Linked DNA regions of Canis lupus familiaris. The protein of the gene in region 1 purifies or fractionates together with the protein of each later gene. This does not show direct contact. Links are inferred from orthologs where the notes say so. Each region holds a gene or a part of one and is shown on either strand. Other genes may lie near its edges.

Evidence for each region. Proteins that work in one complex are often made in the same cells at the same time.
Region 2: the proteins of ACTL6A (region 1) and BRD8 fractionate together in Homo sapiens (co-fractionation; 4 studies listed by BioGRID and IntAct, with this or other methods). This does not show direct contact. The link is inferred for Canis lupus familiaris from reciprocal best matches to the Homo sapiens genes ACTL6A and BRD8.
Region 3: the proteins of ACTL6A (region 1) and DPF3 purify together in Homo sapiens (affinity purification with mass spectrometry; 4 studies listed by BioGRID and IntAct, counting the BioPlex papers as one, with this or other methods). This does not show direct contact. The link is inferred for Canis lupus familiaris from reciprocal best matches to the Homo sapiens genes ACTL6A and DPF3.

The regions. Positions count from the first base shown.
Region 1 is NC_049255.1:13,131,553-13,135,717, reverse strand, and holds the start of ACTL6A (actin-like protein 6A), read right to left. Parts: upstream 2,811-4,165; 5' UTR 2,559-2,810; intron 2,441-2,558; 5' UTR 2,425-2,440; coding exon 2,328-2,424; exon of another isoform or gene 2,190-2,327; intron 1-2,189.
Region 2 is NC_049232.1:25,855,983-25,859,498, forward strand, and holds part of BRD8 (bromodomain-containing protein 8), read right to left. Parts: coding exon 3,359-3,516; intron 3,020-3,358; coding exon 2,567-3,019; intron 2,249-2,566; coding exon 2,155-2,248; intron 1,954-2,154; coding exon 1,907-1,953; intron 1,148-1,906; coding exon 933-1,147; intron 752-932; coding exon 659-751; intron 471-658; coding exon 402-470; intron 42-401; coding exon 1-41. UniProt on the Homo sapiens protein: May act as a coactivator during transcriptional activation by hormone-activated nuclear receptors (NR). Isoform 2 stimulates transcriptional activation by AR/DHTR, ESR1/NR3A1, RXRA/NR2B1 and THRB/ERBA2.
Region 3 is NC_049229.1:46,326,604-46,330,119, reverse strand, and holds part of DPF3 (zinc finger protein DPF3), read left to right. Parts: intron 1-1,626; coding exon 1,627-1,708; intron 1,709-2,225; coding exon 2,226-2,296; 3' UTR 2,297-3,516. UniProt on the Homo sapiens protein: Belongs to the neuron-specific chromatin remodeling complex (nBAF complex).

The sequences.
Region 1 (4,165 bases):
CTCCTGGTGCATGGAGCCTGCTTCTCCCTCTGCCTATGTCTCTGCGCCTCTCTCTCTCTCTCTCTCTCTGTGTGTGACTATCATAAATAATAAAAATTAAAAAAAAAAAAAAGAAATATTCCATGTCAATTAGATTGGAATTAAATTATTTTAATTATGTAAAATAGAAAAACCTCCCCAGAAAAAGGAGAAATATTCCAACTTCAGCTCTTTAAATATGGAGGGGAAATGTATGACTAAAACTAAATACAATATAGTGTCTATGTGACTGACTCACCTACCTGTAAAACTGAGCTTCTCGGAGGCAGAGGCTATACCTGCCTGGCACATAGCGAGCATTAAAAAACATTTTATGAAATGAAAAATTCAACAAATCAATTATGTTTCTGTCCTAATTAGATGGCAAACTATTTTCTCTCTCTCTCTCTCTCTTTTTTTTTTTTTCAAACTAGACATAGAATTTTAATCTGAGTGAGACTCTTGATTCTTGGAATTTTGCATCTGCTTATTTTCCTTTTTCAAAGGATGAGAAATGGGTTTATTTCCTGTACCTGGTTTTGTTAAAAATTAAGTACCAATGAACCCAAAATAGGAGAATGGCAAAGGGAGATAGAAAGCTTAAACCATAACCGCAGAGGTCCAGATATATAAAAACCGGGATACAGTTTCCAATAGATAAAAATTCTTAAGAGTTGGATCCCTTTGCTACTTAAAACACTGTTTTCACTTTTCTGAGGATGTTGATGTTTTTCCTATGGCTTCCAAGTTTAGAGGTGTGGTAATTTCTCTGGGAAAACATGAAGCAATGGTGGCAATTTTCTAACCAGGTCTTAAAACATTCCAATGTGATACTGAAGGCAAATGACTTTGGGAGAAAGTGGGAAGGTCGTTTTATTTTTTTGTTTGGACAAAGGTGCTTATGGGGATGATGGTTCTGAGAAATTTTTAAGGTTAGAGATTTGGGGGTAACAGGTGCAGGAACGATGAAACACAATTTATCAAAGTTGGTCTATTTATTTTTATAATGTAAGGTTGAAATAAAGGAGAACCATGGAAACATGGTCCTAGGAGCAATGAGTAGGCCTGGAAACCAGGTAGAAAGTACAGAAATCTTTCTATAATGAATTATGCATTATACTCAAAGCTAAAGATCAGTGTCAGATCTAGTCAGAAATCTTTATTAGAATAAGATAGCCATAAACTTTAAAATTTAAACTGCAAAGGTCTTTTAAATAAGCAAGCAAGTTAAAAATAAAACTTACTAATTAATTACACAAAACCTAGGTGGGAGGTTTGGTTTCTTTTCACCATACACCCTTTGGAAAATGTGACCCACTATAAATACTGGCCATACAGGGGTAACTCAAACACAAAATCATACACTTATTTTTGTGAGCTTTAAATACCTTATATGTGAAATAGGCTTTAAGACATATTCCTCTCCATAAGCAAATGAGACACAGGATGTTTATTGTGAATACCTAAACCATACATGAATACGCTGTCGCTATATAATTGAAAAATGACTTATGGAGAAACAACCAAAAAACTTTTTAGTTTTAAGATGGGAAAGGGTTTTATTGAAATGCCTTTTTCTTCATCCCAGAGATTCTTGTTCACCCTTATTAGGAAGTTATGTAACTCTGGGCCAGTTGCTTAAACTTTTCCATACCTTATTTTCTTATTCCATAATATGGAGTTAGCAGTACCATTTCCTATGGCTGCTGCAGATTGAGTTAATACACATATTAGTGCAACACATGAAAAGTCTCTGGAACAGTTCTTAGTACAAAGTATGCATTCAATAAATGTTTGCTGCTGGCATTATAAGTATCCACCTCTATCTCAGTCATAGTCAACAATGCCTTCTAAGGAAATAATCATGGACAGCGTCTAGGTACTTGGATCAGTGAACCTAAAGGTCAAAATAGAGTCAGCCTCCATGAGACACAAAGATCCACTTTTTGGGTCAAGATTGCATCTTCAGATGGAAAGGAGGTAAATCATGAAGATTCACTAGGCTTTCTCCAAAGTAAAAATGGGACAACTACTGCCTCTCACATTTGAGAAATCAAAACCCAGAATATATACAGAGAAGAATGGGAGGAGGGGTCAGCATATTGCCCCAAAGAAACTCCTGCTACATTCCAAAAATCAAGAACTTTGAGAACCTCATTTCTATCCCTTACCTGTAAAATGCCAACTTCTTCAGAAACACTAACCTTACTAGACACGATAACAAAAGCAACACTTTAGATCTGTCTCCTCTTTTTCCAAACTCATCAAACACAGCACAGACCAGAATCAGATACACCAGTGCCTCCTACCTATGTAGCAAGAATGAAAGCTCGATTCAGTATGCGTAGAGGGGGCTCGAGGTTCTGCATTTCTAAAAAGCTCGCAGGTGATGCTGACGCTGCTCATCCAGGGACCACACTTTCTGCAGCAAGTGCACCGTTAGCTCAGCTCACCGAACCTTCAAGCCCACCCCCACTGGGTGGGGATTGTCGTTCCCAAAATGCGGGGCCCCGAAGTTGGGAAAAGCTAAGTGAACTTACTTAGCCAAGGCCAACGCGCTCACTAAATAGGCTGGAAGTACAGGCAGCCAGGTCTGTGGAACTCCCAGGCCCGTGCGGACCCTTCCAGCCCACCACAGCCCCCGCCAGGGACGAGGTCTTTAAGCCACAGGTGTCCCCACGAGTCACCCTGAGAGCCCAGTCAGCCGACAGGCAGCTGTGAGGCAGCTGGGCGTCCCGAGGCCCGCACCCCCCGCCGCTCGCCTGGCCCTCGGGGACGCTGCGGAAACCCTCGGTCCGCGCCTGCCAACTGCCGGGACCTCCCGAGTTTAAACCGGCGCGCGCCCCGACGGAGCCGGGTTCCCGAGACTCCCCGCAGGACGCGAGCCCGCAGCCGGCCGCTCCCGCCGGGGCTCTGCGGGCCGGCCCCCAGGACGGAACGCCCGCCCAGCCCGCGGCCGCCGTGCACCCCGAAAGCCGCGCTCCCCCGGGCGCCGGGGCTGGGAGGGACCGCGGGAGGGACCGCGGGAGGGACCGCGGGAGCGGTCGCGGCGCCGGGCGGGCTGCGGGCTGCGGGCTGCGGGCGGCGGGGGCGGGCAGAGCGCGGGGCGGGGACGGGGCGGGGAGGCCGGGGTCCCAGCGGGGGAGGCCGGAAGGGGCCGCCGGGGAGGGGAGGCTTGGGGGCGGCGGTCACAGACCCCGCACGCTGAAAAGGCGCGCTCTCCCGTCCGGCCGCACTCACTCACCTCCCCCGTACACCCCGCCGCTCATGGCTGCTGTCCGCGCGACTCCTACGCTACAGGCTACCGGGCGAAGCGACTGCGACGGCCGCGAGCGCGGGTCCCGAGAAGCACCAGCCCCTAGCCCCGAACTTCCACCGCCACCCCCCTCGGGCAACAAAGCAGCGTCCACACACCGCGGAGCTCAGCCACACTTGCTGTCTGCTCCTACCAGCCAATCACGGGAGGGCCGGGGACGCCTTAGCCAATCAGAAGGAGGCTGCGCTGCATCCCCGCCGCGGCACGGCCAGCTCAGCCAATCGGAGGCAGCCATGGAGGCGGGGAAAGGGGAGAGCGACGGAAGGAGGGAAGGAGTTGGGTTGCGGAACTGGCCCCGGGCGCGGGAGGGAGGGGGGCTGGGCGGAGCTCCCCGAGTGGGCGGGAGGCGCGGCGGCCGGCGCGGCGGGCGGGGGGGGCTCGCGGAGGCAGGCGGGGCGCGCGGGAGCCCGTGAGGCGCCGGCGGCGAACGCAAGCCCCCGGGAAACAGCCTAGAAACGGCGTGTCCGCGCAGCGAGCCGAGTTTCGGACTCTGGAGACTGCAGAACTTTTTTCACACCCCGGAAAAAAGTATTTTCAGCCACCTTTTATGTTAAAAAAAATAGTATGCTCAACTTTGGGGTCGGGGGACAGTAAATCAGATAAACCGGTAGGATCCTGAAATTTTTAAAGTGCTTATTAATGACTAAAAGGTGATGTACTATACACTTTCCCCCAACTAAATTTAAGGACCACTTTATTTATTTATTTTTTTTAATTTTTATTTATTTATGATAGTCACAGAGAGAGAGGCAGAGACACAGGCAGAGGGAGAAGCAGGCTCCATGCACCGAGAGCCCGACGTGGGACTCGATCCCGGGTCTCCAGGATCGC
Region 2 (3,516 bases), on another chromosome or scaffold:
CATTTTCAATGTTTTTCTTAATAGTTGACAAATCCATAGGCCTAAAAACAAAACAAAAACAGGTAAATGGAGGGGAAGAGGACTCAACTGGATCCAAATATATTATTATCATACATGACTTCTTAAATATGCCCTTAGTCTTAGCTGCCAGGACTGAAGTACCAACCCCTCACCGCACAACATGCACTTAATTAAAAACAAGGCATCTTTTACAGTAGGTATTGGCTAAGAATGGTAACAGAAGTCTATCTTTTGTGATCCAGCCACTGAAATGATCAATTTACCACTTTTACTCAGATCAAAAACATTTGCTTTAAACATTCTGTGTAAAGCAAAAATCCACTAAGACTGAACAACTTACAATTCAGGCAAGTCAGCATGCTGAATGGATCATGGCTTACCTCTGTACAATGCTATGGTAGCCAGGTGCTATATCATCTGTAACAGGCTGCAGGAAGACATTGGCATATCTGTCCAAAAAAGAGTAAGGTGCAATTAATTACTGACTTACCCTTCAGAAGCACAGGTAAGGGAACTTGATTTAAGTAGCTGAAGGCTGTAAAAGTCAAAGCCACCGATCCCATATAAACCCAGCCAGACTTTCTCCTAACATTGAGAAGAAGCATGAGAAACATACTGACTGGTAAAGCTCACTCACCTATGATTAGCTGCAGCTCTCCATACAAGCATGATAGCTTTCTTCCAGATTTTCTGTGCCTGAATGGCTTCCTGATCTTCACTACAGACAGAGCTGAAATAAAAGAAGGGAGTCCCACTAAGCCTAAGTCCAAAAAAAATCCTTATCATTTCTTGTGAACTATTAGTTCCAGGCCAAGAAAGGGAAGATGAAAAAAATAAGACTGAAGAAAAAGATCCTCTCCTACTTCTCACCTTCACGGTCTTGAACTCAAAGAAGAATCTCAGATACTCACAACTGTGAAGAAGCAGGGCTGCTGGGGATGGAGTCTGCCAGTGTATGGGACTGCAGTGTAGCATTGTGAATGCTAAAGCCATCATCGCTCTCGCTCACAGGTGGCTCATTATCCATTTCTGACAAATAGCCTTCTCCTTGATCTTCTTCCTTAGCCTCCTCTAGGCTGGCAGCTTCGCTGACTCCATCTTCCTCCTCATCCTCACCTGGGGCATCCTTAGACACAGTGTACTCCAGTCAACAAATGCAAGCAAAGCTATCCAGCAAAGCGTCATTAAACATGGTCTTTTGGATTAGATCAGTTCTAGAAAATGACCTCACACTGCTTCCTGACTGAGCCCTCTATCACTTACACTACCACGTACACTCACTGATCAAGTAATATAGAACCTGGACAAAGAATAAGACCAGGATCTTTTTCTTGAAAGGAAGAAAAAAAAAGCTACTTACTTAAGACTAAGCTAAGAGGCGTTCCTTCTTTCCCCTTGCTCTTGAGAGGAACTCTGACCCTGGGTACAAAGTTATCAAAAATAGTTTTTATTTTGTGTCTCCTCTGATGGAGCAAGCTCATATCACAATACTTTAAATCTGTTACCACTACTTTAGTAATTCTAAAAAGAATATTCCAGGGAATTTTCTTTGGATAGTGTAATTAATAATCTGATTTCTTCTATGTTCTCCCTGATTCTGGCAGCCCTATTTACTCTAAATCACTCTGGAAGTATCAAAGCTTTGTTGTGCATTATGTGCGAAAGAAAGCTCTGTGTGATGTTCACAAATTCTTTCAGATGGGAAGCACATGGCCATAGTACTGCCAGTATGCCTAACTGTCCACTGCCAACTTTTTTCCATGCAACTCCTTAACTAGTCTCATCTCAGAGAATCAGATGCACGTTTACTATAATTCTTTAAAAAGGTAGTGCTATTGGGAGATCTAGTCACACAGCAAGAGGAATAAAGAAAAGTCTGAAATACCTTTATCTGGCTTCCAAAAATAGTCCCTGATTCTTCTTTCAATGAGTCTGCAGAGGAGAGAAAGACTACCTGAAGATTTTTCCACCTCAGCCTTCCCCTTCCTATGGACAATCATCCCCTGCAGCTCTCCTTTCCATGCTGACCTATACTACCTCCTCTACTTTCCCACAGCCCACAATCCCTCAGAAGCCAAAGCAAAGGATGTCAAGTTAGTTACAGAGAACAGATTTCCTGGCCATATCATTTACCTGACATTTCAAACTTGTGCTGAGTCTCTGCCTCTAAAGGATCTTCGATGGGATTGGAGCCATGTGATGGAGACAACATGCTTTCAGGGGATGCCTGAAGACCAAAAAGAATAATTACCCTAAGTACAGATACATCACTTCAGCTTACACAGTGACGAGACTACAAAAGAAATTCTAAGTTTTCCAATGAAAAGACTACAAAAGAAATTCTAAGTCCTAACAGGACTAACAGGAATCTAATGGTCACCGTAAAAGGAACAGGATAAGCACATGTAGCAATCATCTTATCTGTGGCTTTGGGCGTATCAACCATGTGAGAATTCAGGAATGCAAGAAGAAAACCAAAGGCCTGAAAAGTCAGCTCTTACCTAAGGTATAACCCTTCATCCTCCCAGCCCCTGATTTTAAATACCTCTGTCTTCACAGTTGTAAGTGGAGTCTCATCGCCTTTCCCACTGGAAACATCTGCTTCAGCAATCTCTCCAGTGGCAATACTTCTGGGTTCCTCATCTAACTCTTGACTCCTGAGTTCTGGTGGCTCCATACTTGGGGCTGGAACAACTCCAGCTACTATTTCAGGACCTGAGATGCCTTGTTCTGGTTCCGCAGGTTCCATTTTAATCTCAACACTAGGCTCTCTGATGTCTACCAGTTCATGGATTCCTTTGTTTTCTGTTTCCTCAAAGTCCAGCCTTTCTTGCTTGACTGTCATCTCTGGTGCAGGAAGAGATACTGGCTTATCCCGCTCCTGCTGGATCGGGTGCTCCCAGGGGCCAGGCAGGGACTGGGGATCATCATTCTCTTCACAGAATGACAGTGCCGCTTCTACTGCTGCCACATCCAGCACTTCAGGATGATCATCTACCTGTACCATAATATATACCGTTGAAGTCCCCCCAAAAAGCAGCCCAAATCCCTCAATTCTATAAGCACCAAATGAGATAGCCTCAATCTGCATCTTCCCTCTACATGTAGTAGAAGCAACCAAAGGACAGGTACCTATCCTGTGCAAACCGAAACACAAGGATGGCTGGGGAGATGACCAATGTGAGCAACAAAGGGCTTTGGGATTAAGGAGATGGAAATGGGCAGAAGCAGAACTGTCTGTTTATGTAATTCTTACTACAAGAAGCAAGAAGAAGCTGAGAAGAGAAGCCTATGCAGAACTCACGAGAAATTCTTTTGGGCTTTGCTGAATAGTTACCTTGTCCTCAATAATGGCAATGATGTCGCCAACAGTCTCAAAGTCAAGCTCTTCACCTGTGTAAGACACAGCAATATCCATCTTCTCAGCCAGATCTAAATCTTCCTTCCCATCTATGCTGGGAGCCTTTGACCCCCCAGGGGCCTCTGCTACCCCTG
Region 3 (3,516 bases), on another chromosome or scaffold:
CTACTCTTTTTCCCATATCTCAATGGGTAGCTGTATCATCTGGCTTGCTGACCAAGCCACAACTTAGGGGACATTCTTGATTTCTTTGCTATCATTTTCTACATCTAATTAGTGACTTTCAAATGGGAACAAGACCCTTATCTTTTCCCCATGCCACAGCCCTAGTTTAGGACACTATCACTGCTCACCTGGATGGTGGTAGTAGCATCCTAAGTGGTCTTCCAGCCTCTAGGACCAACCTGTCTCCTCCCAACCTGCTCCTTCTTACACAGCAGCTAGGGAGATCTTTCTAAATTCCACGTGTGACCAGTCACTCCTCTGTTGCTAACTCTTCAAAAACCTTCCATTACCCTGTTGAAAGGTGTTAGTGTGATTAAAAAAAAAAAGTCTTTCATGATATCTCCTGCCTTATTGCTTGCTTGCTTCAATATCTACCTTTTCCAGGATTTCTGTGCTGAGGGGAGCCAAGGTGAGATTTGATGCAAAACTTAGTTTTGCAAAGTCTTATAAGCCATCTAGGTAGGTCCAAAGAATAGAGGAGAGCTGAACCTGGATAATGAGGAACAGATCACAAACGTGTAGCTACTGTGTGCAAGTTCTGAAGGAGATGTGGAGATGAGTTAAGACAAGGTTCTGCCCCAAGAGCCTTACAATCTGTAAAGGAGTAGACAAAGTATATTCCAAAGGAGCTATTCAAGAAAACAATTGTGTGTAGATATCTACCACATGCCAGGCTTTGAGGCATAAAGGAAAATGCAATTAAATGTCATAAGAAAGAAAGAGGACTATGGGGATGCAAGGGGGAGAGAGAACTTCCATTTGAGCTAGATTAGTGACATTTCTGTAGGACAGAAGAGCTGGAAGACTTGAAGGGTGGGTAGGGAATGGTTTAGAAGAGTAGGGGTCAGGGACTGGGAGAGCGTCCAGGCAGAGGGAACTGCAGGAGCGAAGGTGCAAACTGCAGGAGCAACATTCAACACAGAGCTAGAGGGTCCTATTCTCCCCTGGGCTTCAACCTCCAGCCCCCGAGGACGCTTTGGGGATCTGAAAGGTGGCATCACATCCCATCCATTTCTCTGTACTTGCATAATGAAACCCTGAAGAGGTTCTGAGGTGTCATAGATGTTACGGTCAAGTATAGCCATTGCCCTTTTCACAGGTGGAAAGGGTGAGGTTAGGAGGAATTCAGTTAAAATTTGCAAACATTTAAAGTACCTTCTATGCACTAGGCAATCATTATGGGGAACACAGAAGTGCATAAAAGTGGTTTTCCTCCCTTACAGAAACATAGTTATTGGTTAGGGGAGTTCAGAAGTGTAAGGAATCTCTTTAAACATGAATGTGAGACAGTAAAGGAAGGCCTCTTGGAGGAGGTATGATTTGAGCAGAACCCTAACGTGGGGATAGGGTTGGCATAGTTAGGGAGACAGAGCAGGAATTTGCAGGTGTGGGCAAAGCACAAAGCATATTCAGGGGACAGGGAAGACTGCAAATGGGGCCTGGAAAGGAGCATTCAGGGAGGTGGGTCTGCATGGGAGAGGCTGGAGGAGTAGGGGGTGGCCAGACACTGGCCCTAAATAATTCATTCTCTCTCTCCTCCTCTCCACCTACTCTGTATTCCACCAGGACCAGCTACTCTTCTGTGATGACTGTGACCGTGGCTATCACATGTACTGTTTAAATCCTCCAGTGGCTGAGCCCCCAGAAGGTAATGATGATGATGTCGACTGTAGAAACAACAGCTACCCCTATCACTTAGGGAGCCCTCACTCTCATTCAGGTCTCGTGCTAAGGCCTTTCCATGTCTTGTCTCATTCAATCATCACAACCCTATGCTACCATTTTACAGATGAGGAAATGGAGGCACAGTTCAACCCTCTGAAATTTCAGCTTGAGGACCAAGGAGATGTTTCTTGGTCATGCAGACAAAGCGGTGGGGAGGTGTCAGCTTCCAGGGGAACCAGCCCAGGCCTAGTGCTGCCAGTTATATCGCTGTCAAGGACAGTGGGGGTCTTTACAACAGTTCAGTGGATCGCCTCTGAACACTTAACTATTTTCTGAGGAGCGCTCACCCTCTGCCACGAGTTACAGACTCTGGCCCACTTTCAGGCCTGGGCCTCGGTCTCTGAACTGTGAAAGTCAAAGGAGAAACGGCACTTGCAGGAGTGAGGGCCAAGGGGTGGGGCGAAGGGCAGCTGGTAACTAGGGCATCTTGTTTCTTGTAGGAAGCTGGAGCTGCCACCTGTGCTGGGAACTGCTCAAAGAAAAAGCCTCAGCCTTCGGCTGCCAAGCCTAGGGCCCCGGGTCGCAGACTGTGACCTGCTGCTGGAGAGGCTGAGGCAGAGCCCACTTCACACCGGATCAAGTCCCCACTCCCATCTATCCAGACAGACCGACTGTAAGGAACACCCGTGGTCATGGAGGGCATGGACATGTGGAACCGAGAGGGTGAGGTGTCTGCTTACCCCCTACACGCAGGTTCCAGTACTTCTGTCAGCCCCTCCTTGCTTCCACCAGAAGGATCTTTCACGTTTGAAGAACACCCCTGGCCCCGGCCCTGTGGAACCCCCTCACATTTACCCCGGCCCTGGTTCCCATTTTAAGGGAAGCTGTTTTGTGACCACCGATCAGTCACTCACGTGTCGTTTGGTGTTTTCTATCTATTGTGTTCCAAGAAATCTTCACGCAGCCTCCCGCCTCCTGCTTCAGCTCTTTATCCTGAACTCAGCAGAGGGACAAAAGGCTGTGGAGAAGTTGTTATTTATTACCAGCCTCCCTGGAAACTTCTAGACTCGGAGTCGGGAGGCCATCTTGACGATGAAAATCCCTCTTTGTTCCTTGGTCTCTGTGAAGAAGAAAAGCGGTTTTCTGGACCCCTTGCAGATACACCTAGTGGTGTCTGCAGCCAGGGGGGTCCCCTGATGGGGCTGGCGAGGGAAGTAGAAGTGCTGAGGGGTGGGCAGAGACATTGGGAAGAAAATTCAGAGGCCCTGCCACAGCCGATCAGTAGTTGTTACCCATCGGGAGTGGCTTTGCAAGGGGTCAGGCTTTTGGGGTTCCTTGACCTTCGGAGCTGGGACATCCTTGAGGTGAGACAAGCCACAGCCTATGGCGGGGGAGGATGCTGAGGCTCTGCCTCCCAACCAGCCCGGGTCTGGAGCTTTCCCTGGTGGGACTCAAGAGCCGGGAAGGCGGGTGAAGGCTGCGCAGTCCGGAATCTGCATGTCGGCACAAAGGACTGCAGCTCTGCAAAGCCCTTCAGTACTGTTTTGGCACCACAAATTCCTTTTCCCAAGTAATTTCTCCTTCTACATGGTGTGTGTTTGCCACTGTCTACTGACACCGGACTCTGGAGATTTTAGGACGGGGAAGAGAGGATTGTCACCTAAACAAATAACGGGGTGATGGGGTGATTTATGATCACGGTGGCAACGGTACAGAATCCTCAGCTTGAGGGCTGCTCTTGCCCCCCCCACCCCCCAAACTCCCCAATTATGTGCCGGAGTCTTGTTTTCC